Arabidopsis thaliana: one gene and its partner. The protein of the gene in region 1 interacts with the protein of each later gene in a pairwise test. Each region holds a gene or a part of one and is shown on either strand. Other genes may lie near its edges. The genes, in order: EXO70B1 and SNAP33.

Evidence for each region.
Region 2: the proteins of EXO70B1 (region 1) and SNAP33 interact in a two-hybrid assay, tested with the Arabidopsis thaliana proteins (one study listed by BioGRID).

The regions. Positions count from the first base shown.
Region 1 is NC_003076.8:23,608,933-23,625,224, reverse strand, and holds EXO70B1 (exocyst subunit exo70 family protein B1), read left to right. Parts: upstream 1-1,681; 5' UTR 1,682-1,890; coding exon 1,891-3,765; 3' UTR 3,766-4,073; downstream 4,074-16,292. Other genes in the region: SNX2a (sorting nexin 2A), read left to right, coding at 230-490, 590-676, 985-1,071; AT5G58420 (Ribosomal protein S4 (RPS4A) family protein), read right to left, coding at 4,329-4,757, 4,857-5,135, 5,239-5,316, 5,624-5,626; AT5G58412 (Putative membrane lipoprotein), read right to left, coding at 6,729-6,777, 6,884-7,116; AT5G58410 (HEAT/U-box domain-containing protein), read right to left, coding at 7,882-8,109, 8,286-8,516, 8,616-9,074, 9,160-10,199, 10,492-11,858, 11,981-12,483, 12,581-13,675, 13,765-13,917 and 6 more. UniProt on the Arabidopsis thaliana protein: Component of an exocyst subcomplex specifically involved in autophagy-related, Golgi-independent membrane traffic to the vacuole. Regulates autophagosome formation and autophagy-related Golgi-independent import into the vacuole.
Region 2 is NC_003076.8:24,615,814-24,632,301, forward strand, and holds SNAP33 (soluble N-ethylmaleimide-sensitive factor adaptor protein 33), read left to right. Parts: upstream 1-7,434; 5' UTR 7,435-7,710; exon of another isoform or gene 7,711-7,930; intron 7,931-8,134; 5' UTR 8,135-8,213; coding exon 8,214-8,693; intron 8,694-8,826; coding exon 8,827-8,920; intron 8,921-9,012; coding exon 9,013-9,143; exon of another isoform or gene 9,144-9,355; coding exon 9,356-9,553; 3' UTR 9,554-9,818; downstream 9,819-16,488. Other genes in the region: AT5G61190 (putative endonuclease or glycosyl hydrolase with C2H2-type zinc finger domain-containing protein), read left to right, coding at 211-776, 877-1,266, 1,370-1,504, 1,609-1,800, 1,881-2,039, 2,160-2,458, 2,541-2,760, 2,840-3,166 and 2 more; AT5G61200 (myosin heavy chain-like protein), read left to right, coding at 4,643-4,759, 4,856-4,915, 5,002-5,104, 5,184-5,848, 5,950-6,117, 6,212-6,268; AT5G61220 (LYR family of Fe/S cluster biogenesis protein), read right to left, coding at 10,244-10,507; ANK6 (Ankyrin repeat family protein), read left to right, coding at 12,441-12,965; AT5G61240 (Leucine-rich repeat (LRR) family protein), read left to right, coding at 13,672-13,756, 14,103-14,250, 14,327-14,398, 14,572-14,647, 14,735-14,769, 14,856-14,927, 15,025-15,168, 15,265-15,345 and 4 more; GUS1 (glucuronidase 1), read right to left, coding at 16,481-16,488. UniProt on the Arabidopsis thaliana protein: t-SNARE involved in diverse vesicle trafficking and membrane fusion processes, including cell plate formation. May function in the secretory pathway.

The DNA of each region.
Region 1 (16,292 bases):
CTCCCTTACTTGGAATCAAATGAAATGTTATTTTCTTTTCTTCATCTGAAAAAAATGATCATTTCGATTTAAGCGATTGACATTAGGATTTCGGAAATCTCGCCATGCGTAGCAAGTATCTTCATTATTAACTAGTGGACACTTGGCAGATTGTCAGCTTATGTTGGAGATGCTGCTGGAATTTGAGCTTCACTAAGAGCTGTTCTTTTATTTTAATTGTTCATTTCAGGACACACTCCATGAGTACCTTGGCATGATGATGGCTGTCCAAGGCGCATTTGCAGATAGATCTAGTGCTTTACTGACAGTTCAGACGCTTCTATCAGAGCTTCCTTCTCTGCAAACTAGAGTTGAGAAGCTAGAGGCTGCATCATCGAAGGTATTTGGTGGTGACAAATCAAGGATCCGAAAAATAGAAGAGTTAAAAGAAACAATCAAGGTCACTGAGGATGCAAAAAATGTTGCCATCAAAGGGTATGAGCGAATCAAGGTATTTAGTAATAACCCTATGCATATCACAACTTGTGCTGTTTTACCAACATGATATGAATATTTTGGTTATGCTCTGTGTAAATTTGTATCATTGCAGGAAAACAACCGATCTGAGGTTGAGAGGTTGGACAGAGAAAGGCGTGCAGACTTCATGAACATGATGAAGGGTTTTGTTGTTAACCAGGTACGTTATTATTATGCAGCACATTAACATTAGAAGGATGATGCCTTTCTTAATTGCCCAATAGAGTGAAGAATGTGATAAGGAGATTGTTTAGTTTAAGCACAAAGTGTGTGATTTCATTCTTAGTGAGATTTCAAGAGTGGAGAAGTAGAATAAAAAGATGGCATTCATGGGTCTCTTGTAGGCAAATGAAAATGAGTTCTTTTAAAGATAATGCGGTAGAAGAGAGGATAGGAATATATAAATTTGCTAGTAATCAAAGAGTCCAGAGTTTTAAAGAAAGAGTTGTGTTCTTGAATTGGACGCAGGTTGGATACGCAGAGAAAATGGGAAACGTCTGGGCAAAGGTTGCAGAAGAGACCAGCCAATACGATAGAGAGAAGCAGAGCAGCTAACAAACACAGAAAAAAAGAGAGTGAACGATGTTCATTTTGGCATAACCATACCAAATCCATGTATGGCACAGAATCACATTGCGTAATAATGGTTTGTCAAAAAGTGTAGTTTCCTTTTTCATATGTTGTATCTATCTTGATAGAGATTGGTAAACGTTCTTGTTTGTTTTCTTTAGTTGCTGTAAATTAGTTTTCTAGAAGCATCTCTGACTACAGCTGCATTGACTCATACCCATTGTTTTCTGGTATATGCCGCCAAAGATATATCTGATAGTTTGGTAAACGTTCTTTGTTTTCTTTAGTTGTTGTATATAAGTTTTCTAGAAGCAGTTCTGAGTTCTGACTGCGTCTGCATTGCCCTCATACCCATTGTTTCCTGGTAAGTAACAACCAGTTCGTTTTAGTGAGTTGACCGAGAGAGAAAATGAACCATCGAGCCACCAATCTTACTCGTAAACCGGCCGGTTTATCTCCTAAAGCGAGACCAATGAGGCAATGACAGAAAAGTCACGGAGACGTCAATATTCGCGAAAGGGAAAGATTTCACAAAAAGACAGCAGAAATTATCGCAATATTACACGCCCATGCCATTTTCAAACAACGCGGCCAGGTCAAAGATCGCGTCTGTCTTAAGGGGTAGTTTCGTCATTTCGACAAGTTTTTTCTATCCATCCAGTCTTCTTCCTTGCTTGGAACTTTCTTCGTCTTCGATTCCCTTCCTTGCTTCTTTCCCCGTCGATCTCGCTGTGTGACCTTTTTATTTAGTGACTCGAGATTACATAAAATCTTCTATACACTGGTTCCACATCTGTTTCAATCATGGCGGAGAATGGTGAAGAGAAGTTACTTGCTGTTGCGCGTCACATAGCCAAAACACTTGGCCACAATGAATCCATGGCCGATGATATCTTACAGATCTTCTCCAACTTCGACGGCAGATTTTCTCGCGAGAAGCTCGCCGAAGGTCAAGCTGGAGAAGATGGATCCGGAGTCGCCACACTCGAGCGAGCTCTAAATTCAATAGACGGTCAGATCTCTCGCTTTGTTGCTGCGGACCAACCAATTTGGGCTGATCCTGCAGATTCAGCTGCTTTCCTCGACACAATCGATGAGCTCGTTGCAATCATTAGAGAGTGGAGTCCCATGGCTTCAGAGAAACCTATCGGCATCTGTCTAACACGCGCCGACGATATGATGCAGCAAGCTATGTTCCGCATCGAAGAAGAGTTCAGGTCGCTTATGGAGCGTGGAGCTGAGTCTTTCGGACTTAATCCTCAGGGAGACGCTGGTGCGATGAATCATCGTTTCGATTCTGAGGAAGAAGAAGATGATGACAGAGACTTCAACAACGGTGATGATATTCAGATCCCAGTGGCACAGCCACTCACTGACTACGATCTTATCATTGATGCTCTCCCTTCGGCGACAATTAACGATCTACACGAGATGGCTAAGCGAATGCTTGGCGCTGGATTTGGTAAGGCGTGTTCTCATGTTTATAGTTCTTGTAGGAGAGAGTTTCTGGAAGAAAGTATGTCAAGGTTAGGGTTACAGAAGCTGAGTATTGAAGAAGTTCATAAGATGCCGTGGCAGGAGTTAGAAGATGAGATAGATAGGTGGATCAAAGCTGCTAACGTTGCTCTAAGAATCCTGTTTCCTAGCGAACGTAGACTCTGTGACCGTGTCTTCTTCGGTTTCTCCTCTGCTGCTGATCTTTCGTTTATGGAGGTTTGTCGTGGCTCTACCATTCAGCTTCTGAATTTCGCAGACGCGATTGCTATTGGAAGCAGATCGCCTGAGAGATTGTTTAAAGTGCTTGATGTGTTTGAGACAATGAGGGATTTGATGCCTGAATTTGAGTCTGTGTTCTCGGATCAGTTTTGCTCAGTTCTTAGAAATGAAGCAGTAACTATTTGGAAACGGTTGGGAGAGGCGATAAGAGGTATATTTATGGAGCTTGAGAATTTGATCCGGCGAGACCCGGCTAAAGCTGCGGTTCCGGGCGGTGGTCTCCACCCGATCACTCGTTATGTGATGAATTACCTCCGTGCGGCTTGTAGATCCCGGCAAACCTTAGAGCAAGTGTTTGAGGAAAGCAATGGTGTCCCTTCTAAAGATTCAACTCTGTTGACTGTACAGATGTCTTGGATCATGGAGCTTCTAGAGAGTAACTTGGAAGTAAAATCTAAAGTGTACAAAGATCCAGCTTTGTGCTATGTGTTTCTGATGAATAATGGGAGATACATTGTTCAGAAAGTCAAAGATGGAGACCTAGGATTGCTGTTAGGAGATGATTGGATTCGGAAACACAATGTCAAAGTGAAACAATACCATATGAATTATCAGAGAAGCTCATGGAATAAGATGCTGGGGTTGCTGAAGGTGGATAATACTGCAGCAGGCATGAACGGTTTGGGGAAGACCATGAAGGAGAAGCTGAAGCAGTTCAATATTCAGTTTGATGAGATATGTAAAGTGCATTCGACGTGGGTAGTGTTTGACGAGCAGCTGAAAGAAGAGCTAAAGATCTCACTGGCCAGGCTTTTGGTACCGGCATACGGGAGCTTCATCGGCAGGTTCCAAAACCTTGGAGACATAGGGAAAAACGCAGACAAGTACATCAAGTATGGAGTTGAGGACATAGAGGCGCGTATTAACGAGCTGTTCAAAGGGACTACCACGGGAAGAAAATGAAGGTAACGAACACAAAAATAGCCTCTTGTAACATCTTCGTAACGAACCACCTGCTAAATGACCAATAGCGAAGTCTTGCAGGGAGGATTTGTAACATGTATTGTGTATCCTTTTAGACAGTTAGCTCAGCTCTGTTGTGTTGTTGTGTAATGTTGTATTGTAACTGGATCACTTTTTTTGTCATTGTAAAAAGAGAAAACAGTTGAAAAAGATGACATGTTAGGGACTTGGATCTACTTCTAAGTCTTGAGTGCATATTTTATCAATATGTTCTTACATCTAAGTCTTCCCTTTTAACAAAGGAGTCAACACAAGATTTTTCATTATTTTACTGATTCTCAATAATTGTGTAACTATCACCAAGTAACCATAACCAACTAGTACCAACTCTTGAAGATAGTAAAAAACAAGAGAGGACACAATGGATATTTGATGTTTTTAACTCTTGAAATAAATAATATAAGAGAAGTTTCAAAACTGAGCAGAGTACCAAAAGAAACGAAGTGAGTCTAGGAAATATGAAACGTCTAAAGAAGCATAACAAAGAACTGAAAATCACAAAATTAAGCAGCCTGTTGACTAGCAAGCCTCTTCCTGGCCTCCTCGATGATAGTCAGCTTGATACCTTTGCCCTTGGGAAGAGACACCCATGGCTTTGTTCCTTTGCCAATGGTGTACACATTACCCAACCTTGTTGCAAACTCATGTCCTGTTGAATCTTGGATGTGGATTGTCTCAAAGCTTCCCTTATGCTTCTCACGGTTTTTAATCACACCAACACGCCCTCTGTTTCTACCTCCTGTAACCATCACAACATTGCCAACATCAAACTTGATGAACTCGACAATCTTGTTGGCCTCAAGGTCGAGCTTGATGGTGTCATTAGGCTTGATGAGCGGGTCAGGGTAACGGATGGTGCGACCATCGTAAGTGTTCAGGTAAGGAATGCCTTTCTGTCCAAACTGGATAGATCGAACCTTGCAAAGTTTGAACTGTACAAATAGAAGACATAATGTTAGAACACAACATATCCCCATCATGTCAAGTATCACTCTAAAAGACAACTAAACAATGACAAGAGGAGAACAAACCTTTGCTTCCTCATCCTTGATGGAGTGGAGACGGAAACGTCCCTTGGTATCATAGAGAAGACGGAAGTTCTCATTGGTCTTGGGGATAGACACAACATCCATGAAACCAGCAGGGTAGGTCTTGTCCGTCCTGACTTTCCCATCAACTTGGATATGCCTTTGCATCAAGATTGAAATCACTTCACGGTAGGTAAGAGCATACTTCAACCTGTTCCTGATGATAAGGACGAGGGGAAGGCACTCCCTTGACTTATGTGGTCCAGAAGACGGCTTTGGGGCCTGTGTGGAACCAGAAATGAACATACTTATTCAAACAAACCCAAGAGATATATATAAAATTGAATCAAAACTGAGACAAGAAGAGAGAGAGTAAAAGACATACAAATGCACCACCAAGTTTGTCAAGCATCCAATGCTTAGGCGCATTAAGCCTCTTCAGATGCTTCTTCAAACCCCTCGCCTGTAAAATTTAACAAAATAAATGTTAAGAGATGTTATTATTAAGGAAATCTCTACTGCTATGTATATCATCATCATGACCTAAATCAGCGACACATTTGAGATCTAATGAGCTCAGATCTAAGGAGAATCACCATGATGCATATAATATTCACAAGTTATCGAATCAATCAAATTGCTAACAAAACCCATTCTCTAAGTCACTCTAACACAAACCCACCAGAAACGAGAGTCGAGTTAAGGAACTATCTAGATGTAAACAATCACTAAGCTCAGAAGAAAGAGATAGAGATTAGAGGATGACGAACCATGTTTTGAGTTTTGCAAGCGTAGCTCCGATCCGAACTACCTGTTGTTTTCTTAGAAACAGCTCCGAACCACTTGAGAGAAAAAGTGAGAGCACGTACAAAACCCTAATTGGCCATTTATATACCCTCTTCCAACTCCATGATGTTAGGGTATTATGGGCTTATTAAGTGAGAGGCCCATTTATATATATGGGTAGAGATTTGTTGTGGGTAAAAAAATATCCAGCCAGGCCCAAACTCGAAACGAGCGTGGCCATAAAAAAACTAAATTCAAATACTGAACGGGTTCTGGGATTTATGGGTTAAATGTTAAAACCTTCATGTGTTCCGGAATTATCCGTCAGTATCTATTTATTTTCTGTATTTTGCATTAGATATTTATACTCGGTGTCATACGTATTTAAATTTTTTTCTTCTAGTATCATATATACTAATATTATGAATTGTACATATAATCATGTATTTTATATTTTATATAAACAACTTTATTTGTTACCCTTAATTGATTTTAATTCTCTACTTTCACCAAAGTTTTTAACAAATTTGTAAACCCAATATCCACTCAAACATTAATAATTTAAAAGATTATACAAATCAGAGTTTCATCAAAGTTTCGCTCAAGCATTGGTGTCTAGTTTTTTTATATAATAAATTTACAATAGTAATCACAAAATCAATATAATTTCCAAAAAGTTAAACCCACTTCCTGTCTTTCTTAAAGAAAAAATAACACTCAAAATTGTAAAGCTAAGTTTTGATATCTAATATTTATAGTTATCATATTTGTAAAATTTAAAATTATGATTTCATATCATCTTTGTGTGATCATATTTCCAAATCATTATTTTCATCAAACCATCAAGATCTAAAAACGTTTTAGTTGATTTTTGACAGGCACAAGAACCATGTCTAACTTTATTCATAACTAAGTCTTCAATCAATTATAACATTCTCAATACATCGATATTGGTATGAAAATCATAGATCATATCATGATATAACTATAGAAGTGAGTAGTTTGGATGAGAATTAAAAAAGAGTAGTAGGAGTGGAGCAAGTCTTCGAACAAGGTTCCATACAATCTGCGTCATTGCCACATTTGGTGTTACAATTTGTGGAGCATATAGCGATCTTGCCTTGTTTTGCCTTTATTGCTTTGTATCAACAAAAATTAAGTCCACGTATATATATCAGTATAATATGTTTAATCAAATATTAAGTAAGGAAATAATTTAAGAGGAATATATATGGAGTACTTACTTGAGAGACGGTGGTGAAGGAGGGCGTTGGTCGGGATCACAAACGGCAAAACAGTGGTCCTGACACTGGTAATTATCTTTACCGCATTTGATCATGCAATTTTTGTAACACAATTTCCACAGATGCTCTTTTATTGTTTCATGAGAAGCCATTCCATTACATGCTTTTAGAGGACATCCAATCATTATCAATGCCACCATCACCATCACCATCATACACATTTTTCCTGCCATTTTCTCTTACAAACAGATACAAAACTCAAAAGTAATATTGATATTCGTTGTTTGTTCTTTGATATATGTGAATGCGATGGAGGAGAGTTTATATATTTCGAAATATTCTTTTTATTTCTAGTCTTTGCGTTATAATAACGAACGTTTTTTTTGTTTAAATTGCAATTAATAGCTTTGACTTATTCTTCTTACGCCATTTTGGAAACAAACTGGGATTATTTCTTTCCAAGATATATCAAAAATCCCATCATTTCTTAGTGAGGACGATTTCGAAGGACGTTGCACTTTATTTTTTAATTTCAATTATTTGTTTCCTTTATTATTACAACATTTAGTTGTTTTCTTAAATTTAAATATATGTTTCCTTTTGTATTTTCTCATTTACCTCCGCGAATCCCCAGCTTAAATATATTCCTTTTTTTTGGTAATGTATTTCTATGTGTTTTGGTGTCTGTTAAGATATATGCATTGACCATAAAATAAAATAATTAAAGGAAAAAAAAAATTAGTCACCCAAATCTTTCGCTTATTAATTAGCTTGTATTCTCGACCGGGTCTACTACATGTGTGTGTGTACCCGAAGTAAATTTCTCTATTTATTACTTTTCCAATTTTCACATATGATACGGGTATATGTATATCAATGGCAATGCGGTTCCACCTAAACCCTTTTATTTTCTTGGAAAGTAAAACCTAAGAACGTTAAAGAGTTAAAGCAAAACTCACAGACTAATGTCACAAAAATGTATATCCTCAGCTATTGTATTAGCAAGGAGATTGGCACAAGGGGCAGAGTTTCTTATTAGACGTGTAGAACCACTTGTCTAAACATGCTTTGTGAAACTTGTACTTGCAAGTCACGCAAGCTCGCCTTGGAAGGCTGTGATTCCCTATGTGTATCACACTGTAACATATCGGGCAGTCTTCTACTCCTTCAAATTCCTTGTCCGAATTTCGCTTCCATATCCTTATCGCCTCCGCCAGAGCCCCATTCTGCTTTCAGTAACAACACATTAGAAAAAGAAGAAGAAGAAAAACATTCAATCAAGACAGGCACTCAATTTGGGCTTAGATGGAGAGGACAAGATTAATCATATATGGTCTACATGATGGAACTGGAGATATCATTCAGGTTAACAAAGATCGATATGACTCATAAAGTACAGTACCTGATGACGAACAAACATTTGCATAGACATCAACCACTTCCTCTGCTTCGCTTCGCTTATTCCAATACTTTTTGCGCAATTAACGTCAACAGGCTTGAGTGGGTAAGAAACTGGAAGCCGGATCACGAGATCCATCCCCGTTTCATCCTTCGTATATGTAGCAACTACCTCATTTGCCGCTTTACTTATGCTGACTGAAAAGCTCTCATCATTAAAGTCTGCCTTCTTTATCTGCGGCTCACATAAACAATGAACAGAATATTTGCAAATGCATTAGTGGATCTTCACTGCAACTCTCAGAGATGAGAAAAGGTTTTTTATTGTACATACCTGAGACAGTTCGTTCTTGATTAGAGATGGGCTGCACCACGTTCTTGTAAATGCTTCAATAAGAGATGATGCAGAACGGTCACGCATTTCGCTAAACCATTCTCTAACATAAGCTGGAAGGACACGTAACATCAGACCATATATCGCCCCAGCAAGCGAAGCCATCTTTCCAGTTTCAATAGGCCAAAGTGATTCAACCGTTGACAGGGACGAACCCGTAATAATCGCACGAGTGGCTGCTGAAGCTACCACAGATAACTCAGACGGAATATCCCCATCTTTTTTCTTCAAGCTCTGTCCCATGTATAATTCTAGAGGAATGTGCTGAAAAAGACTATCTAATATCAACGGATTTGCAGTTTTTTCTATATATTGCACCAGTCTCTCTCGTCCTTGGGTTAGTGAAGGTAAAGAGTTAACATTGGAGAGTAACAAAGACCACGCCAGGAACGTTTGCACCTGCCATTAAAAGTGATTAAACAGTGAATGACTTGCCCAAAGAGGGAAAATAAACCAAATAAAGCTTTTGAAAAGTAAGAATTACCCTTTCTGGCGCAGTCAAGTCCGTATCAAGAAGTTCATGATCTAACTTCTCAACCATACAAGATACTTCATCTCTTAGCAGTAGCTTGTCTTCAGATGGTAAACCAGCATTGCTTGAGTCCTGATCATTGAGAGACTCATCATTCAGTGGTGCATTCAAATCAGCAACTATGGCCAGCCTGGAAATAGGTTCGGTAGACAAAACAGTGTATGCAGCAAGTTGCAATGACGGGATTGGATTGGAAGAGAACATTATTGCATACAAAGAGCTTATAGATCCTCTGCTTAGTCCCCAGAATTCCACTGCTCTGACAGCTCTATCTCTTGCGCGTGGAGAAGAGTCTACTACAAGGTGAGCTACCAGCTCCCAGAACTGCAGATGATCAACTCGAAATGAAGCAACAATAGATGCTGCCTCTGGGGAATATGAAGCAGCAATAGCCTCAGTAAGACCCGTGCAGAAGAAAAGACGCAGAACACCTTCAAGTATTCGATCTTTAACAGGATCCCATGTTTCATCTGCCAAGGATTTCAGATTGTCTTCACCTTCAACAGATTTATGGTTTACTAACGCATTAAGCAACGAAAATGCTGAGAGAGCATTCTGAGCACTGTTTATAGAAGGATCAGAGATAAAAACTATATGCCCAAGTCCTTCAAGGGTATCATTCTCCTTCTCCTTCTCCATGGAAGAAACACCACTAATGAAGTCGTTGACGTTCTCGGAAGTTTCCTCCATCACAACTACTGCAGATTGAATCAGACGCTTCAGATTAGAAAAGACAAAATCCCAATCATCCTCGTTAAAATCGTTTCCACAGTAACTAACTGCAATCATAATTAGTCTTGCGAGCAGAATTTGCACAGCTGGAAGTTGGGTAACTACAGTTGATGCACCAGGATCTTGCTTTTGTTTGCGGAACAAGTCAAGCAGGAGCGTTCTCTCTTCAGTGCTCAGATGCCTCTGTAGTTCCTTTGCTTCTTCAGCTTTATCACTTACGGGATAACAAGAGATAACAAGCTGAAACCAATCCTGTATATCTGATAAAGACGGGGGAAAACAATAATGAGCTAGGCATGCAAAGTAAAAGATAAACAACAAAACCTTAGTCTTAAATTGCTCCCTAGACTGTCCATCTGATGCCAACTATGACCACTTCTCAGATGAGGACTCAGGACTATCACTAAGTCAATGTTATTTCATAAGTAAATATACTTGTTCTACATCCACACCCGAGCCTAATCCTCATTTAAATCTAAGCATTGTTCATAGGTTCAAGATGAGACTACAAGCACCACTTTCAAAAAAAATAAAAAATTAATCGGTCTTTACCTTCCCCACTTTGCCAGAGCACCAGAGGAGGAAACGACAAAGACCTCTCCAGCCAATTTCTAAGCAAAACTTCCAGTGGTAGCAGAGTATCTTTACCAGAACCACCAGATTTTACTTTTGTACGTAATGGTGAGATTATTATGCTCATAATGTAAGGAATAATTCTCAAACAGTTTTTGCTTGTCTCTTCCCCTATGAAGAGTTTATCTGTGATCATTTTGAAAGCAGCCATGGCTTCTTCTTCTCCCCAAAGGTCCTCCTTGAACAAAATGTGAAGGAATGACACTAGAGCCCTCAAAAATGGTTCAACGACGTCCACTATGTTATTATTAAAGTCAACCCACATGTTCCCTAAGCCCTCTTCCTCATCCTTTACATGCACAAGAGCACCGTTGAGTAGAATGTCAAAAATGGAATTTAGTAAACCTCCACTCGATGGTTCATCCTTACAAAATGATACAAGATTTGGCAGGAAAGAAGTCTGAACTTTACCCCCTGGCCACTCCCACGTGCAGAGTATTTCTACGGAAAGCCAAGCTTGAGAGGCAAACCCATGATCTTTGTGGCCAACAATAAATCGGTGAATTCCCAATTTCATGATCAGGCTGTCAATGAAAGAAACATATCTTTGACTTTTCGATTTCCTCAATTCGCACAACTGAACAGGCATACCATGGGTATCTATGCTAGCTGACGAGCTGGGGCTGACCCAAATAGGCCACGCATCACTCTCAAGCAGGAGCAGGCCACAGATATTCTCTTCATCGCTTTGATCCAATGAGAGATATTCTAACACTTCGGTCATCCTTGAAGCACACAATAATGTAAGTTCAAAAGGTTGCAGATCATCCTCAAGTAGGACAACTGACCTCAGGAACTGAGCCAAAGTGCTTGCTGAACTCTTCCGGACATCATAGTTTATAGATTTCCAGAATTGATTATCCATCTTAGAGCAAACGGCATGAACATAATCACACACAAAATTCCGATCCTTTCTCTTCTCTTTGGACTCAGATAGCGTATTGTCCACTAGTGATGTCATTCTATTCTCTAAGTCAATGATAAAAATAGAAGACAATACAGTTGTAAGTAGGGTTGCGTCCTGACTCAGAGACTTCAAACTGAAGAAACTACCATCAATAACTTCAGCTGCAAACTTAGCAACCACGATCACATCTACAGAACTGCTCGAATCAAACGCTATAGCCTCGACAATAAGAGACGAACATGTATCATTGACTGAACATAATGGTGACTGTTTGATAAAAGATAGCAGTTTTTCGAGGATCCCTCTATATATCAAGACCAACGAGCTTCTTGACACAAAAGAAATACTGCTGTCTTGGGTTGAACCACCCAGAACTGAACTGCATACAAAAAAAATATAGAATAAGAACTGGGAACAAGCAATCAAGCAACATAAAAGACTTGACTGAGATATATAAATGCAAAATATTGATACTATTTATAGATATATTGACTAACTTACCACAGGAACTGAACAGCAGAAGTTGTAGTCGCTGAGGAGGAATGGACAAGACTTATAGCAGTTGATTCTATGAGTGTATGGTGCCAATGTTCTGGCCGAGAACCTATTCTTTGATTCAACTCCTGTCCAGAACTTCTTTTTGTAATTTCATCCCTTGCCTTCTCTAAAAGCATTTTCATAGCAGCCAGGTTATTGAAGCCCTGATGTTGTTGATTAAATACATAAGAAATGACATCACTCCACTGCTGAGTGAAACATTCATCATCAAGCAATGAAAATAGGAGATCTTGTCTAGCTGCAGTCGAAGAGTCATATCCATCCATACACCAAGGAATAAAAATTTCTTGAAAAACTTTAATAAGCTTCTCCGGGCTCATATTCTTCTCTTTTTCAACAGAGAGAAGGGTAGAAGTCTCTATATCATCAATTAGCACTGGAACTACCTTTCTTGGTCCAAACACCGATACTGAAACTGACAAAAGCTTCACACCATCTAACAATTCCTGAAAAGATAAATACAGCCACACAGGTTAGTCAAGTAAAAACATCATATGATCTACTATGAAAAAACGGGGTAACAAAACGTGGACGATAACTTACAGATGATCTTATCCACGGGAAAGCCTTGGACAGCAGTGGCCCCATAAATTGATGCAAGGGCCAGCTCTCACCTTCCAAAACTGAATATCTCTCCAATAACAAGAGAAAATCAATCATTTTTCTCATGCTTCCCGCAACTATCTCTAAATCTCCCTGCTGAAGCATATTCAAGAAGCTCTCTTGAACAGCTTTACAGAAAAAAGACAGCAGGTTCTGTTCAAGTAAATTAATCCCTGATAGAATTTCTAAGATGCATCTTCCTAGCTCTTGCAGATAACTAACTGAATTACCCATGCCAAGATTTTCAGCTGACTTCCTCTGATTAGGTGGAATGCTGCCCTTAGATAGTTCAGTGAAGTCCGCCCATAGAATCTTCACTAGGACTTTATCAATTAGATCAACCTGGAGATCATGAATAGAATTGGGAACATCGCAATACCTTGAAGCATTACGTAATCCCCAGAGGAAACATTCAGTGGTTGCCCGAAGAAGTGATAACTGATCCGTACTTGATGATTCACACATACTCCTTCCAGCCAATAAGTTTTTGAAAAAATTCACAAAGAACTTATCACTTTCTACAGATTGTGCTGGCATAACTTCGAGGAACAATATCAGTGCAGGATAAGAAACCTGTGGGGATCCATAGCACCCGTTCCTCAGAAACTGCCATAAATGATTTAGAACAGATTTATGAACATTTAAGTAGACCCAACTCTGAGGAAATTTTTTAGAGAACAGCAAGACAGCCTCCCACATTGATGAGTGGCAGGTTGGATTATTTTCTCGAAAAACACCAAGCAGAGCTGGTGCAAGACTTCGGACGTCGCCTTCGCCAAAGACTTCAGGAACATTTTTAATGAAGCTGCTTAACAAAGAATAAGTCGCTGACCGAATACTAGGGCTTTCAGATTTTAGAAAGTTCAGAAAGCATTTATGGGAAGAGAACATCTTCTCAGCTGAGGAGGTTGCTACTGCCCTAGCCTTTGAGGCAAGTTTTGATTCAGAATTAATGTTTGCAGAGCCAGTATTATCGGGTTCGCGGAGCAAAATATCTAGAAGTGTAGCCAACCCCACCAGAGATGACGATATCATCTGAAAACAATGGAAATAAGACATGGTAAACGAAAACCCAAAGAAGGAAAAACTTCACCATAGCAAGAAGAATCACCGAGATGAAGTACCTGCTGGTACATTTCTTCTAATTCATCTGAAGCAAGTGATTTATCAGATAAATTTTGAGGTGTAAGTTTGAGATTTTCCTCCAGATAAGCAAAAATCTCAGCTGAACATAAATTCAAGGCGTGCAATCTCTTTTCCTGGGCAGGGAATGCTGCCTGTTTAAACAATAGACAGCTAATTGAAATTCTGAATATTGATGCTATAACAAAGTGCCCCCTGAGCAGAACTAAAAGGTTACTGGTCTAATAAAACGACAATAGAGTTTATAATAGAAAGCGGGGCATTCAAACATAAAGTAAAATAACCTCCACCAAGAAAACTGAATTACCAAACGAGGAGCCAACCTGGAAAGACGACTTTGCTGCTTGAGAAACTTCAGATGCCAAATCAAATTGCGAAAACCACCAGGGCCCCATTATAGACTTTAGATGAGGAGCTATATCTCTCCTGAGTAACACAAAGAAACAAAGAATTAATACAGAATCAGATAATAGTGGGAGAAAACATAGAATAGAAGTATGGCATACATGCTAAGACAATATCATCAAGACATAGTTCCTACATGACACGCTCAATATAGACAAGCTTCTACAGCACTTAGCAAACGAATCATTCCAACAAAATATTGATGATAATTTTGATATTGATGTTAGGATAACCTCAAAGCTAAATCATATCACTCATGACACAAGAAAACTACATATATCCAGGTGAATGATACTAAAAGAAGAAGAAGTAAATGAGGCACTGCATCACGGCAAGAAAAAGGGCATGCATTAGAAAATTGAGAGTCAAACCCGGCACCAGTGACAACATTAGTCATGACGTCATGAGTAGCTCGCCGAACATCTCGACTGTAGTCCAGTATCAGCTTCTTGTACTCAAATGTCTGGACAAGTAAGAAAATATGAAAAATATAGTCAACCATATGTGGAAAATGAGCAACCAAATGCACTGAAAACGTAGGAAATATAGTGATCAACATTCTGCAAGACAAAGACTAATTAGAGGTAATTCTATCAGTGAGAGTCATATTCCCAATGCTGATTAGCCTATCTTCAACATCTAATCTAATACAACTTCTGAAGCTACAGTTTTTCTTCTGTCTAAACATCTAATTAGAGGTAATTCTATCGGTGAGAGTCATATTCCCAATGCTGATTAGCCTATCTTCAACATCTAATCTAATACAGCTTCTGAAGCTACAGTTTTTCTTCTGTCTAAACATTACCCATTGTGGGATTATTGGCAAAAGTTCCTTCCCTTGCTTCTGCTTAACCAGTTCTGATAGGGAAGCAAGAGCTTTAATCTGTAAAAGGGTTGAAACAAACAAATCACAATCAAGAACAGCTCTTGTAGTCGATTGGATAATCAGAGAAGCCATTACCTTTGTTGTAGGATCCTTCCTTGAAAGCCTTTGCAAGTGTTGGGCAACCTCACTATCCAAATCCTACAATCCATTAAAAAAGATGAGAGATTGGCAAACACACAAGTAAGCAGACGGGAGAAACATACCAAGAAGGAAGCAGAGTCTTCGTTTGACAGAGAAGTTTGGAATCTAGAGCTACCGACATAGCCCCCAAAACCTACGGCGGCTGCAGAGCCAGACGGCAACAGAGAAGCTGCCAAGCTGTTCAGAAGAAGCTCAATTCAGTACCGAACCAACGAAGCATAGACTCAAAAAACAAAAGATAAAGTCGGAAGAAATTAAACGTTAAGAAGAGATTAAAGGAACAAATATGACCTGCTGCTAGATGGACGTGCTTTGCTTCTTGCAGCATCTCCTTTGGGTTTGCCCATCTCCTTCTCTACTCTAGACAGAAAAGCTTCAGATGGGTCTGATCGGTCTAGCAAAGGAGTAAACAGGTGGAAGTCAAGAGTCGGAGCGGGAAGGCGGTGGCGATTCAGTCGTCGCCGTCGTAGAAAGAGGTAAAGAGAATTTGTCGGATATTACCCACCAATAATGGGCCATTAGTATTGGATTTGCTTAATTTAGGCCCAATTATTTATGGCCCAACTAAGAGGAAGGTCGCGTTTATAAATATTCACAAAAGTTCCTCTATATTTTAGTTTGTTCCTTATCAGACCCAGATTTTCAAATATCAATAATTTGAGTGGATGAGGGTGTGAATTATTCCGTAGTCACTAATTCTGTTTCTTATTTAAATATGAAATCATGTCAAAATATAACATCAATTCGATTATGTACATTTTGAATTTAGTAGTATATATCATCATTTGTACTATTCATGATGAAAGTTTCACAAAGTGAGAAATTCCCAAATATAAAAGGTTTACAGAGTCTCTATATACCAAAAGAACTCTATAATCTAATCTGTTGAGCCTACTACACTATCCTATAAAAGGTTTACAAATTTCATAAATATCTTTTATGATCCGAAAAAACAAAATTACTCATTATACCAACGCTAGAAAAGAAAATGTCAATTCTACATACCAACTCTAAAAAAAACCCATATTAAAGGTTCACAAACAATATAGAATTATTTTCTTGAAGAACTGTCGTATA
Region 2 (16,488 bases), 1.0 Mb from region 1:
TGATTTTGTGTGTTTTTTGTTTGATTTTGGTTAGGTTATTAGTTATGTATTCGTCCTGGATCTGCAATTTTAGGTTTTTACTTTCTGTATGTTGAATTGGGTTTCTCCATTTTGATTTTGGATACTGTGATTATAAATCTCAGTTTTTAAGTAGTTTTCTAATTGTGGAAGTATATGATTGGGTTTGTGGTGTTTTGGTGGTTGGAACAGGAGTGAAAGATGCGAGCGATAAGAAGATTCTGGTGGATATGTTGTTGTGGGCAATAGACAACCCTGCGCCAGCGAATTTATTGCTAATCTCTGGTGACAGAGACTTCTCTAACGCTCTCCATCAGCTAAGAATGAGGAGGTATAACATTCTTTTGGCTCAACCTCCACGAGCCTCTGTGCCGCTTGTTGCTGCTGCCAGAGATGTTTGGCTCTGGACAGTCCTAGCCTCGGGAGGTCCTCCTCTTACAAGTGTTGAATCCTCTCTACTCTTTAACAATGGGGGTTTTCGTGTCTCTAATAAAGGTGTGTCGAAACTTCCAGTTTCTGAACAAGCTCAGCCTAGCCAACCAACTGGTTCAACTTCTAACGCTGGAGATACTAAGGATCATAAAACCAGAGAAAAGCATGTTCCAAGAGGATCACTTCAAGAAAATAGAAAAAATATGCTTCAGCATAGCAGTGGAGCCACAGGGGAATCTGCTACTACCTGCAGAATATGCAATGTTGTATGTGATAGCTTTGAAAAGTTCACCGCTCACCTTTCAGATATAAGGCATATATCTCAGGTAAATTAATATCTTGCTTGTTGGTCTATCTCTTCTTGAAGATGAAATTGTATGGTAGCTAGAAGGAATAGAAAAAAAATTGTTTGAATTCTTTGTGCAGGCTGCCATTGTAGAAAGTCGCAGAGCTCAGGCCAGCGTTTCAGCCAAACCCATACATCAAGCAGTTCTTGTCGAACCTTTGTTGTGCAAAGTTTGCCAGATCAGCTTTACCAACAATGATACATATAAAAATCACACCTATGGAAAAAAACACCGAAACAATTTGGAACTGCAATCAGGTAAGTCCAAAAACATTTTGGTGGGACCAGCTGAGCCTTCCAAAGAGGTTCTAGAGAAACATAATATGAATAAGAAGGTGATGATTGAGAGTAGAGCTCAGGCAAACGCTGAATTCGTTTGTCTTATGTGCAATGTGGTGTGCCAGAGTCAGATTGTCTTTAATTCTCATCTGCGCGGTAAGAAGCATGCCAACATGCTGAGTCAATCAGAGGCAAGTTTCTAACTTTTGGTTATTCGAGAACTTGTTAATTTATAGCAATAGAAAATTTGACAGCTTGGTAAAACATATGCCTGACCTAAAAGCATTGGATCAGGCACTCATTGTTTCTACAAAGCTTCAAGAGAAAGGAGTCGGAGAAAAAGAACAACCAAGTGAAACAGTTGCAGAGCTTCAGTTGCAGTCTCAAAAGGCTCAAGAGAAGCAGGTTCCCATGGTGAATCAATTAGAGGCAAGTTTCTAACTTTTGGCTATTCGATTATATGGAATTTTTATTAACATCGATAAGTTGGCAGTTTGGTAAAACATATGCCTGATATTATAGCTTTGGATTAGGTACTAGTTGATTCTAAGAAGCTTCCAGAGAAAGGTGATGAAGTAAAGGGTCAACCAAAAGAAATGACTGCACTGCGTAATGCAAGTGCTAAATACATTTGTCGTATGTGCAATGTGGGGTGCCACAGTCCAATTGTCTTTGAAACTCATCTAAGGGGTCAGAAGCACGCTGCCAATCTGAATCAATCAAAGGCATGTCTCTTACTTTTGCATATTTGAGAGCATATAAAAAACTACAGTGTGGTAGACATATGCTTTATGTAATACCGTAGGATCAGGCACTCATTGATTCTAAGAAGCTTCAAGAGAAAGGTTTCGGAGAAAAAGAACAACCAAGAGAAACAATTGTAGAGCCACAGTTGCAGTCTCAAAACGCTCAAGAGAATAGCAAGTGTTTCGAAAAGCATGTTGTCATGGTGAATCAATCAGAGGTCAGTTTCTTAATATTGGTAATTTGGTATTTTAATTTACAATTTCCAGTGTAGCAAAACATATGCTGAATATGAGAGTCTTAACTGTGGTAAAATATATAAAGAATGAAGCTTATATAGTTGCATCAGGTACTCATCAATGCGAGTAAGCTTGAAGAGAAAGATGCCCAAGAAAAAGCTCAACCAATAGAATCAATAGCCGAACCTCAGTCGCAGTCTCAAAACACTCAAGAGCATACCAAATTCTTTGAGAAGCAAAACGAAGAGTTGAGAAAGATTTGTGGCACTTTAGAAAGCAGTGTAAAAGAACCTCTTCCAAGTACTAAGGACTGGGTGGAGACTCTTAACAAACAGATTCCAAATGGAGAATTTTTCTTTGGTGACCTAAGATCTGATTTTGAAGTACCCAGGGAAGCAAGGTAATTTTTGCTAACTTGGATTTGCTTGCTTAGTATGTCAAAGATGCAATTATCTAAATGTATTCTCCAACTTTTGTCATAGTGAATGTTTTGATGGCATTGTCAAGCCTGTAAACCTTTCCAAAGGAGAAACTAAGCATTCATGGGAGGTAAAGAAGAAGAAAATCGAGGTGACCGTACGCCATGCAAGACCAGCTGCATCTAAACTTTGTCATCTTTGCGTAGTGATTTGTGATAGCCGGGGTTTGTCAACAGTTGTTTGTGATAACAAAGCTCATTGGCCGAACCAAAAACATACTACTGTAGTGACACTTACTTCATGTTCTACCTCTTTATCCTTGATCAATATCAAACCCTTCTGACTTCTTATTTTTGATGTAGGCCGCCTTTGTAGCCAGCAATGGTTCTCAGTCCAGCGTTTCAACCAATCCTTTGAAGGAACCAGAGGGTTTGCAGCCCGTGTGGTGCCAAGTCTGCCAGATCAGCTGCAACAGCAAGGTTGCATTTGCAAGTCACACATATGGGAAAAAACACCGACAGAACTTGGAATCACAATCAGCCAAGAACGAAACTATGTCTACTGGACCAGGCAAGCTTTCTAAAGATTATGGAGAAAAAACGAAGAAAGTATCATGCAAAAACCAAACCACATTTGATTCTCAACTGAAGAGTCAGAACCATTATACCATGGCGAAGGAGCTTGTAGAGGTAAATCTTACTATTTAGGTTTTCTTTCGTGAACTTGGAATCTGCTTTTAGTAATGAATATTACAAATCTTAGTAAAAATAATATCCTTAGGTTTGATTCCTATCGAAAGTGATGAAGTATATATTAGACCTTAACTAAAATATCGATGTAGAAGGCATTTGTCTCCGCATTTGAGCATGTCTCCGCATTGGAGCAGTTCAGTATTGTTGACTCAAGGACAATCCGAGAAGACACCGACCAAGAAAAAGAAGCAACAAAGGAGCAGACACTTGTAAAGATGGATGGTAATGGGTTTCGAGGGGCACCAGAAGATAAAGTGGAATTGAACCAAGAAAAACATAGAGAAGCACTGGAGCAGTTCAGTATTGACTCAAGGATAATCCGAGAAGAAACCGATCAAGAAAAAGAAGCAACAGAGGAGCAGACACTTGTAAAGATGGATGATCTTGGGTTTCGAGGGGCACCAGAAGATAAAGTGGAACTGAAGGAGAGACACACCGTATCTGAGAACTTGGTGCACCGTGTCTTCACTGAACAGAATCGAGAGTCTAGAATACCCAATGAACCGAGGTAAGAGCCAACATTCATGGGAGTGTATAATATGGTCTCTCTCTCTCTCTCTTTCTCTTGAATCTCGATCAATATGTGTGTGTCTAACTGGTTGCTTGGATTTTGGGTTACAGAGGATGTTTAGATGTGATTCCTGAGAGAGTAAAACTGCCACCAAACGTGAATGTGGCCAAGAATTTGGAAGATGAGCAGAAGCATAAACCCGAACCAAAAGCACAGGAAGCCGAAAACAAGTCTGGAGGACGCAAGGATCTTCCTGGAGAGGCTGCCAAAAGGGAAGAGATTAAGGGCCAAGCTGATAACTTTTGGACTCGCCTTTGGGGGAAAAAATATTAAAATAATGTGAATTGTTAATTCATGTTTAAGTTGTCAACAATGGATGTTTTCTTTTGAATGGCAGATTAACGTTTTATTTTGGATTGGCTTTTGCTTATTTCTTACTGTTGTTTCTTATATATAAACTTTACCTCTTAAAAAAGATTCAAGAACAATAGAATTTAGGCATTGTAGTATATAGGTTCTCTCAATAAATTGGGAAATAACGACCGGTTTTTCCAACAGAATTTTCGGCTTAGTCTGTAATGTAATCATCAAAAATTGCATTATTTGCTTTACGACTACAGCTCAACTGGGCCACCCTGATTACTTATCCGACCCGGCCCGACCCATCCGGATCTTCCTTCTCTTGTTTAAATTAAAGCAGATAAAAAGGAAACTGGAAAATTCAGTTCAAGTATTGTCGTCGGAATATTACTCTTCACCGGCCAGGTAAAGCTTTCCTACGACTATGCTTGTGTTCGTCGGAATGTGTTTTTCTTTCTTTTTCTTATAGTCTCTGGTCGCTAATGACTCGTATTCTTGGTCCAGTTTTCAGCTCTTGTGTGTAAATTTGTTAGTCTTTTTTAATGTCGAGTAATTGGGGAAGTAGCTCGCGAGATAGCTCGGGAAGTAGTTCAAGAAGCGATGTTGACAACTCGTTTGATGCTGACGAACTTTTACAGATTGGTTCAAGATGTATGGAGGTGAATCTGTTTTTCTTTCTCTATATCCTTTGTCTCAGAGATTGATGAAGTTCATATTTTTGGCTTTATGATCTCATGTTTTCATTGTAATTGTAGCTACGGAGAGAAAAGGAGATGCTTAGAGAATCTCAGTCACAGAGTGTTGAACTTGTCAGAGTATGTTCCTCTTGTGTGTTTTAGACTAGTGAATTGATTGTTCAAACTTTTTCTGAGATTTGTTGTCTTTTTTTTTTTTACCCTAGAGGTTGGAACTGAATGCGAATTCGTTGTCAGAGTCTCGTTTAGAAGATAAGAGAAGAATTCAGATGTTGGAGAAAGAATTGTTGAATTGCTACCAGGAGATTGGTAATGGAGAGATTCTCATGAAACTGAAATCTAGGCATATATTTTATATGAGCTAAAAAACACTTTCTTTGTCTTTCAGATTATTTGCGGGATCAAGTAAACTTCAGAAGCCAGGAAATGAACGACCTGAGTGAACATGTACTCGATCTTGAAGTCAGAGTAACTAAATCAGGGAAATTGGAAGAAGAAGTTAACTATTTGAGGGAGGAGTTGTGTTCGTCGAAATCTGAGCAGCTATTGTTGTTGCAAGAACTGGAGAGCACAGAAACTGAGCTACAGTTTTCTTTGTTTTCTGTTGAGAAGCTGGAGGAGTCGGTCTCATCCTTAACATTGGAGTCTCAGTGTGAGATAGAAAGCATAAAACTTGATATAGTAGCGTTGGAGCAGGCGCTCTTTGATGCTCAGAAATTTCAAGGTGAAAGCATCCAAGAAAACGATAAGTTAAGAGAAATAGTCAAGGAGCTACGGTTGAACTCTCGAGAGGCAGAAGAGAATGCTGAGTGTTTAGAGAAGCAAAACAAGGAGCTGATGGAGAGATGTGTAGCCTCTGAAAGGAATATCAAAGACTTACGTCAAAGCTTTAGAGGAAGGTTGGAAAGTGAAAGTGAAGCGCCTGTAAATCCAGATTGTTTCCATGACATCATCAAGAAATTAGAGGTTTTCCAGGATGGGAAACTGAGAGACAAAATGGAAGATATGGCAAGACAGATACTTCAATACAAAGATCTTGTAAAGCAGCTCAAGGTATTAGTTACCAAACAAAACAGTAGAATCAAAAATTTGGTGCCTTTTTGCAGCGTCACACATATTCTAACTAGTTAAACCATTATTTTGTTATGCCTAAGGATGAGTTGAAAGAAGAGAAACTAAAGGCCAAGGAAGAAGCAGAGGACTTAACACAAGAAATGGCTGAATTAAGATATGAAATGACATGTTTATTGGAGGAAGAATGCAAGCGGCGTGCATGCATCGAACAAGCATCATTACAAAGAATAGCCAATCTAGAAGCACAGGTACTTGCTTCTTTATATCTTCCAATTTTTTTATTTTTTTTGAGCCATCAGATATTGTTGAAGGAACCTAACAAATATCCATTTTCTTGTTAAGATCAAGAGAGAGAAGAACAAGTCCTCAACTTGCTTAGTTCCTCTTCCTGCTGTATAAACCAGCTAAGGTTCGAGTTAAACTTGAAATCACAGTTAATGCCTCAAATAAGCCTTTAAGCTATAAGGTTTGAATTCTTATGTATTTAAAGTGTACATAATCCAATTTGATTGGAAATTGGAATATAGATTTCATCCCTGTGATTATGTTTATATATGGAAATTGAGTTTTACAAGAGTGAAACTGCTTCTTCATGTGCCTACCAAAAAAAAAAACTGCTTCTTCATGTGGCTTCTAAGTGTTTAATTACGCCTTCAGCAACATGTAGAGATCTTGAGAAATTGACATGAGTCTCTAGAGAATGTTGAAAGCTGTGGTCGTTGACCAAGAAGATTCTTACTATTTGACTCTATTTGATAGGCCTGTAATGAGCCTAGGTCAATAAGGCTGAGTTTATTTGATGGCCCGTTTTTCTCTCTTTTATTGTTCTTCTTTTTCTTGTGAAAATAAAGAAATCTGGAAGCGTTGTTGTATCATCATGTATGTGCAGAGTCTAGTAACCTTGTTGTTGATGCAAAGGGATAAATGAATGGGTCAAGGAAAAGAACCTGTTGTCTTTATTGTTAATCAAGACACTTGTAGATTTGTTGTCTAACCTAATCCAACTTGACTTTAAGCAAAAACATATTCCAACTTGTTCTTCACCAAAATGATATGTTGAAATATCGTATCTACTAGGACATCAAGATTTTGTTGTAGTCGTTATCAATGTAACCGGTAACAAATAAAAATTAATGAGATAAATTAGGCATGATCATATCCATAGATATTGTCAAACAATTTTCTATCTTCAAGTAGTTTTTGGTTTTGGGCGAAAATATGTTCTCTTTGACAAATTCAACAAAGACCATTCTTTTTGGATGACAAAATTGACAACTTACCCATTCTTTTTGGGCTCATACAATTTATCAACTAAACCATCAGTACAAAAAAAGAAGCAGAAATTAGAAAAATATAAGAAAATGACTCTTTCTCTGTAAGAAAAAATCCAACTACGTTTATTATATCCACAATTACGTCCTATATACAATTAAAAAGATCTAAATTGCTCTATTTTCGTTAGAAAGTAGTTACTTTTTACTTTTTTAGAAGTTTGATCTAGAAAAAAAAAGAATTATATATATGACCGTTTTAGATTTGAATTAAATGATTTTGTTTTATTTATTAATTGATCCACGTTCCTTTCTACAATTTGTTTTTTTTTTAATCTCCTTGATAAATTTTCGTCAACACATACCCAAAGACCTCCTTGTTGTACTCTCAAATTCTTGGGTCGTTCTGAGTCGTCTCCGCGTTAAATCTTTTCCCTTTTTGATCCTTTCTTCCTTTCTTCTTCTTCTTCGCATTGATTTGGTCCTCCTTCCTCTTCTATTCTATTCATTAAGAACCTAATCTTCATCTTCTCCATCTTCTTCTTCACGGACTCCACTTCGCTCATCCAGGTAACCACAATCTGCTCTCTATCTTTTGCTTCAAAATTCTCAGTTCCTTTCTTCTCAATTTCCGTCTGCTAGATCCTGGGCTTTCGATTTGTTCCGTTCCTCTTCTGCGATTGTTTCGTTCCAGAGAGAATTATCGAAATAATTAAGCGAATTTTGTGTGTGGTTTTCATAGTCTTGGGTTCTTTAGCCGCTACATATACTCAATTATGCCCAAAATTAGGTTTAAAATTGATTAACTAAAACTTATACTTTTTGGTCTCGTCTTATGTTATCGTTTAAATTGTTCTTAGAAGTGAAATCATTCGATGCTACGTTTTTGACTTGTTGCTTTACTTTATCTATACCTTTGATTTGATCAACTTTTCTCTTAGCTTACAAGTTAGAATCAAAGCATCAATCCTGATTACTGTTTTGGTTTCTGCAGGAAGGTTTATTAGTAGTAACCAATCCAAGTGTTCCTTTTGTTTGAAGCAACAAGCTTTGTGATATTATCCTGAGAGACAATGTTTGGTTTAAGGAAATCACCGGCAAATCTTCCCAAGCATAACTCAGTCGACCTCAAGTCTTCCAAGCCAAATCCTTTCGATTCAGATGATGAATCTGACAACAAACATACCCTTAACCCTTCTAAGAGGACTACCTCTGAACCCTCTTTGGCTGATATGACAAACCCTTTTGGTGGTGAGAGAGTTCAGAAAGGAGATAGTAGTTCATCCAAACAGTCATTGTTTTCGAACTCCAAATACCAGTACAAGAACAATTTCCGTGATTCTGGTGGTATTGAAAACCAGTCGGTTCAGGAGCTTGAAGGTTATGCTGTGTACAAGGCTGAAGAGACTACGAAATCTGTACAAGGTTGTTTGAAGGTAGCAGAAGATATAAGGTCTGATGCTACCAGAACTTTGGTCATGTTACACGATCAGGGCGAGCAAATCACTAGGACGCACCATAAAGCCGTTGAAATCGACCATGATCTCAGTCGTGTGAGTTTTTCTTCCTTCTGGTTCTTGATTATAAAATGGAAACATTCAATCTTTTTCTGAGGACATTAGTTGGTGTGAGATAAGAAGACGGTAGACATTTGATGCTGAAACTAGTTGGATTTTTGGTTTTCAGGGTGAGAAACTTCTTGGAAGCCTTGGAGGCATGTTTTCAAAGACTTGGAAACCAAAGAAGACTCGTCCTATAAATGGTCCCGTCGTAACCAGAGGTTTGCTTCTTGGTCATTGATATCTCAATTCTTCTCGCAGCTATTTTACTTTCACCTAATTGCTGAATCCTTTATTTTGTGTTTTTGCTTAGATGACTCACCAACGAGAAGAGTTAACCACTTAGAGAAAAGGGAAAAACTGGGACTGAACTCAGCACCCAGAGGACAATCAAGAACCCGAGAACCACTCCCCGAATCAGCTGATGCTTATCAGAGAGTGGAGGTTTGGACTTCTCTTCCCTCTCTTCAATTTTTCCTTTCATAAGAACATTACTATACTCCTGCATCTGATATGAGTGATGCATGAACTCTTTATCTGTGGTCCTGTAATGCTAACAATTTGAGACATTGATGACTCATCAATGATGAGCATATATATCTGAGTGAAAAACATGTGTTTTGGACGCCACTAAACTTAATACTGGTTTATTACAGATGGAAAAAGCTAAGCAAGACGATGGGCTTTCAGACTTGAGTGATATACTCGGCGAGCTAAAGAACATGGCTGTTGACATGGGAAGCGAAATCGAGAAGCAGAACAAAGGACTTGACCATCTTCATGATGATGTTGACGAACTCAACTTCAGAGTGCAACAATCAAACCAACGTGGTCGCCGTTTGCTTGGAAAGTAGATGAACAGAGGGTTTATATGTTCATTACACTCATTCCTCGTTTGTTTTATTCTCTATGAAGTTGTTCTTTAAAACTGGAAAGATTCTTATCATGTTAAATACATTATTGCTATCTGTGTTTGTATTTGATCTTGTGACAAAAAACCAAAAAACTTATTGATCAAACAGAAGCAACTTTGGTATCGTTTTTATCTGTATCATAAAGCTTTCTCAAGAAATTCTGATAATAGATGAAATTATGAGTTTTAATCTCAGATTTATAACCTAAAAATATCAGTGCTAGAATACGACATAAGAATACAGAAACTCCAGACAAGTTGGAACATATGTTATGCAACAACTGCACAATCATGTGAGATTATTCAAAAGAACAAAAAAACCAGGAACTCTTCATTCCCTTTAGTCTTCCTCAGCTACAATCCAAGGGATATATTCCACAATGTCCTCTTCTTCACTTGTATAATGTCTGAAGCCATAAAACACAAAGACTACTAATGAGAACTAGACAAAGCAATCTGACATAGTTGGAAAGAACTATGAATAGAGGAAATAATAATCTCATACAAACACCACTTGTTCCCGAATCATATTCTCAAGCCACAAACTCGACAATCAATGAATATAAAGTGGCTCCAACATGACCATTAAAAACAAATAGCTTTGGAGGATATTGTAATGACAAACATACATCTACTGAAGCTTGACTTCCATGATGTTCTTGGTCTTGGGAGGATATGCCAAGTAAACCTTGAGCACTCTCTCAGCAACAAAAAGCTGTTTTTTAGCTTCAGCATAAGCCTCAGTCACCTTCGATGGGTCAGTGAGATTCTTGTTCATGCGGAAGCCATCCAAGGTCCTTCGCTTACTGTACTCCCTAATGTTGTAATCAGGGAATTGACGTCCCGCTCGAAGCAAGGCACGACATAGGCTAAGAACTTCACTACTAGACACCATTGCAAGATTGGAAACTAACCCTTAATTATACAAAGCCTGGTTAACTGCAATCAGTATAAGAACACAAAGAAGCTGAGATTAGCAATGCCGAAAAGGAAGAGAAGTAGTCAAGATGATCAAGGGATAAAGCTATACACTTCGACATGTAACAAGAAGTTATATAGATAAGTGAAAAGTATTAAGGACCAGTACATCATTTATAGAGCAAAAGAACCTAGATTCAGTAACATTAGTATATAGATAAGTATTGATTTGAGTAGTGTATATAAGGTATGAGAACCAGTTGCTGCAACATTAGAAACTAGGCACTAGAGTTCATGAAAATACGCAAAAGAACCAATATTAACTAATCGCAAACGCTTAAAACAATCAAGAAGAAACCTTAAAAGGCCATAAACGCACTTAGTAATCCTAAACTTCAGTAAAATGGATGAAATTGCAGTCACAGCCAAAAGAGACAATACATCTGAATCATGAGAGGATCCGATAAGCATAGAATTTGACGATAACGAGCTCCAGATACATATACATACCGAATCAAATCGTCGGAGAGTATTAATTTCCCGAGCTCGCCGTTGAAGTTCTCCGTTCGAAGGTTTTGATAGCAGCAAGCTGGGTCGTTCGGGGGAATAAATAAACTTTTAGGTTTACCCAAAACTAAACCGGGAAAACTGATTTGGGAACCGGATCAATTTTAGATTGAGTAAGAAAAGAACCGGTTTTAGAATGGGCTAGACACAAAGGCCTGTTAAATTGGGCCAATATGTGATAAGCCAGCCTTTTTTAATGAAGGTGTATGAGCTGGCATATTCGACAAGAAATAGTAAACAAAACCGATATTTATCATTCTCTGTCACGCCTTCTTCCTTCTCTACACGAATTCGATTCTCTCTTATCTCGACGAGAAAACCCTACTGCGAAAAAACTCCGATCTCTCTGGCGAGAAGTAAATTTTTATCTCTGAGCTTGGTTTCACCATTTCTCTATCTCTATCTCCTCGCTGGGTTACGGTACGAGCCTCTCAAACTTTTCGATTCCTTGTGTTCATAAGTATGTGTGAAAATCCTTGCGTGTCGAGATTGATTTTTCTCTTTTTCGTTTCGGATTCATCGTTGGATTCTTATTTCGTCAATGTTTTTCTGTGATTTGTTCTGATTCATGTGTAATTTGTAGCTGACTTGATTGGTGATCGATGATTAAAATTTGTACTCGTTAGTTCCCCCTTGATTCGATTGATTTTGTCTCTGTGAGGGTATTTTTTCTGATTCTATTGTATTGTTTGTAGATTTGCCAATATTAGAGACTACAAGTGTCGTAATTGGATTCTGAATGAACTTTTGAAACTCTACACGAGCTGGATTGTTGTGTTATTTATATTACAGAGAAATTTATAGCATTTTTGTTGTGTTCATCTGGTTTTCACTAATTTGGTTTTCTTCTCCATCTTTTGTTGATAGGTTTGGTAAGGTCAGTGTTCTCTAAGGCTGAAATTTGGGGGTTTCTCAGTCTCGATGTGGTCGTGCTCCGTTAGGATTCTTCACAATCATTAGGGTTATATTTCTTACAAACTGATGCTCATTTTCTCTTCCCTGTCTATGGCTTTATCTGTGATCCTTCAAAAGCTTAGTGTCTTCGGCCCTGGTTTGAATCCTTCTTTCCCTTACTGCATCGCCAATCACTCCTTTGCCTCCCGTTAATTGAGTTGCTCTCTTTCAACTTAATTACATTAGTCTGCTTCCTTTGCTGTCTAGTCTGGATAGTGTTGCAAATCAAGTAGTATCTTCTTTAGACATTCTTGGCTGAGAGATTTACACTAAAAGCATAGAATAAGAAACCCCTGTTTGGTTAGTATCTACCCGAGTCTCGTAGTCCTACACAGATCCGGATCCTAGTTTCGAAGCTAGTTCTTGTTTAGCTGAAGCTCAGACCCAAAATGCTCCAAGAACCGTCGGCTGCATTCTCCCTCCGGCGTAACTCATTCAGACGCCGATCTCCCAGATCAAATGTCGATGACAGAGGCTGGAATCCGCTCCATATCAAAGCCAGAAAAGGCGATCTGAAATCTGTCAAGCAGCTTCTCGACCAAGGAATGGATGTGAATGCTCTAGCATGGGGACCCAAATCAAAAGGAGTGAGTGCACTTCACCTTGCAGCAGAGGGAGGTCACATTGAAGTCATGGATTTACTCCTAGAACGTGGGGCCAACATTGATGCTAAAACATGGGGCTCATGCGGGTGGACTCCTCTCCACGCTGCAGCCAAAGAGCGGAAGAGAGAAGCAGTGAAGTTTCTGGTGGAGAACGGCGCATTCTTGGCAGATGATATAACTGATACCAGGTTTAATCCGCCGGTGCATTACTGTCACGGCCTTGAATGGGCGTACGAGGAAATGAAGAAGCTTAACAGCGAGTCTTCTTCTTCATCTGGTGGAGACACATCTTCCAGTTCTGACAACTGAACTTCTTCTTGGTTGTTTCTCGGTGTGTTTTGTTTTGTTTTCTAGTTGAGACTACTTATCAGAACTATTATGGTTGGTGTTTGATCTTATGGGCTATGTGAAACATTGAAACTGCGGATACATTCATGTAATCTTCAGTGTGTTATTTTGCAACTCCAGTTTGATATCCTAGCCGAATTTGATTTGTTTAACCGGTTCTGGATCAACCAAAAATATGAGATAATCGGTTTTGGTCTCTTATGAATCATTAAGTCTAAAAATTAATGCAGGTAATTGACATAGTGTGATTTAACATAATTGACATGGATATGTATATAGCTAGATTGCGAGGATGAAGCAAAGTTTTGCTCTTAATTGAGTTAGCACCATATGTTTCTAATCATTGTCATTTGTGTCTTAGGACATGTTTAACTAATTAAGGTAAGGAATGCAATAATTTTACACAAATGACAATTATTTGGTCGATACCCATTAACAAGATTGGTTCTATCTCTTCAATGAATGATTTGGTCGATACCCATTAACCAAAAAGAAAACATCCGGATCATTACCAGACCCGTCGGTGAGATAGCGGGTTTGAAATACACGGTATTCGGTTTACGAATCTCAGGAGGAGGAAGAGAAAATAAAAATGAGTTTTTTAATTTCGCTCTCTTCTTAGATCCCGTTTGTTCTCTTTCTCACTTTGGCTGTTTAAGCAAAAACCATGGCTTCTCGCTGTGAGCTACTTCTGATCTGCGTCTTCTCTCTCTTAATTGCTTTTGCTCACTCCAAGACATTGAAGCGAGATGGTAAGTTTTTACTTTAATCACCCTCTGGTTTTGTGTTTATGATCGATCCTCCATTGATTGAATTTGTATAGCTCTTTAACAGATTTGGTAGATACCCATTATCCAGATTCGTTCTATCTCTTATCAATTTCCATGATTTAGCACGCAAGTTCGATCCTTTTTCTTTCATCTATTTCTAATCTGAGCTGAGCTGAGCTCAAATTGAGAAATATTAATTATGTGTGAACAATGATTGGATCTGATACTATTGGTCTCAAGAAGTTTGTTATATCTCTGCATCATGGTAGTTGGTTACTACTGTATCTTTTATAATCAGCTTTCCTCAAAGTTAATCTCTTGTGGACAGTGAAAGCTTTGAATGAAATCAAAGCCTCTTTGGGATGGAGAGTGGTGTATTCATGGGTTGGTGACGATCCTTGTGGAGATGGAGACCTTCCACCTTGGTCTGGTGTCACGTGTTCTACACAAGGAGACTATAGAGTTGTCACAGAATTGTAAGTTCTGGTTTCTTCTCACTTTAGTGTTTTCTTTTGTAGCAACCTGATTTGCTTCACTGAATTTGATTTGCAGAGAAGTTTATGCGGTTTCGATTGTTGGACCTTTCCCCATTGCAGTAACAAACCTTCTGGATTTGACTAGACTGTAAGTTACTTTCTAAACCTTTTTATTTGTGACATTAGGTAGATTGATGCAAGAACTCTTTGAACAGATATTTCCAACCTAGTTTGTGAAACGAGATCCCCAATAATTCTTTAGAGTTATGCTGTTTTAAGATGGTTAAATTGAAACTGGTATTGGTTTCTTTGATATTTCAGGGATCTACATAACAACAAGTTGACTGGTCCAATCCCTCCACAAATTGGACGACTGAAACGGCTGAAAGTACTGTATGTTCCTTGTGCTCTCACAACGATATGAATCATTGATTTACTTCCTTTCAAAGTTTGTCTCAATAAGTTGTTCTGAGACCAAACTCAGGATCCAATTCTCTTCAGAGTGAACTTAGCACTTACGTGACAGAAGTCTGTTATTTGTGCCATCATAACATGTCAAGTTTCCAAATACTTCACCTAAACATTTACTCTGTTGTTATCACTAGAAACCTGAGGTGGAATAAACTACAAGATGTGATCCCTCCCGAGATTGGGGAGCTGAAGAGACTAACCCATTTGTGAGTACCTTAATGTTTCTTTTTACCTTCTGATGATCGTCCATTTTTATCCACATGAAATCATGATATTTTTTCTTCTTTTCTTTTTATGTTTAAGGTACTTGAGCTTCAATAGCTTCAAGGGAGAAATTCCCAAGGAACTAGCTGCTCTTCCCGAGCTTCGGTATCTATACCTTCAAGAAAACCGTCTCATTGGTAGAATTCCTGCCGAACTGGGGACTCTGCAAAACCTTCGCCACCTGTAAACACCAAATGCCGTTTTCTACATATAGTTTGGGTACCCTCCAATGATTTATTTACTGAGATCATGTTTGGTTTGTGTCCCATTATTTTTCAGAGATGTTGGTAACAACCATTTGGTGGGAACTATACGGGAGCTCATCCGTTTTGATGGAAGTTTCCCAGCTCTTCGCAACTTGTAAGCATCCCTTCAGAAATTTCCATTTGCTTCTCTCTTCCGTTTGATATATTCTTTTATGTACTACGTTTTCTCTTTTTAAAATCTCGATTCATTAGGTACTTGAATAATAACTATTTGAGTGGAGGGATTCCTGCTCAGCTGTCAAATCTTACAAACTTAGAGATTGTGTAAGCAGTCTACACTCTCCATCTCTCTGCAATAAACTATATCACTAGATCTCTGATGTCTGTTTGATTGGTTTTGCAGTTACCTGTCTTACAACAAATTTATTGGAAACATTCCTTTTGCCATTGCTCATATTCCTAAACTGACATACCTGTAAGTCTTTGTGCTAGATCGCTGATCTTTCTCTTTGTCTTTGATTTGCTTACTATCTAAAAGAAAATATGCATTCTAATGGGATCATGATGTTGATGAAACCAGGTACCTTGATCACAACCAATTTACCGGGAGAATCCCAGACGCATTCTACAAGCATCCATTCCTCAAAGAAATGTGAGTTCTCACCCAATTTTTGAAGAGTTCATCAAAGCTTTGACTCAGACAAAATAGCAAACCCATCGAGTATAAGAATTTGAACAATGTGAACTGTTTTGTGTGAAATCCATCTGGATGAGTTTATGATGACTGGTTTTTCAGAAAAGTTGAATGTTTTCTTTCTTCATTCTCCACTCTGACGATAAGGAGTTCTGTTTCTATTTTGCAGGTACATTGAAGGCAACATGTTCAAGTCAGGCGTGAACCCAATTGGTACCCACAAAGTTTTAGAAGTTTCTGATGCCGATTTTGCCGTGTGACCGGATAGAAGATTCCAGGAAGGTTCTCGAGAAAACGTCTCAGAACCACCTAGAGATTGTTCCACTTTAGCCCTCTTCACTATTATTATTTTTTGTATGGTCTGTGGATTTGCAAATGAAAGAAAGCATAAGACTACAAGTTTTTATCTTCATATTGTATAGTTAGACACATTCCACTAATCTATATTTCTCCTTAATCAAATGATTATATATATTTAGATTGGAATAAACCACTTCCAGTATACAATAGTATGTGTTACATCGATCATATATACAATTGCCAAGAAATTTACAGTAGTTCTTCAATGTTTGATTTTCACCAGTTACCATCCTCTTCAAGAAC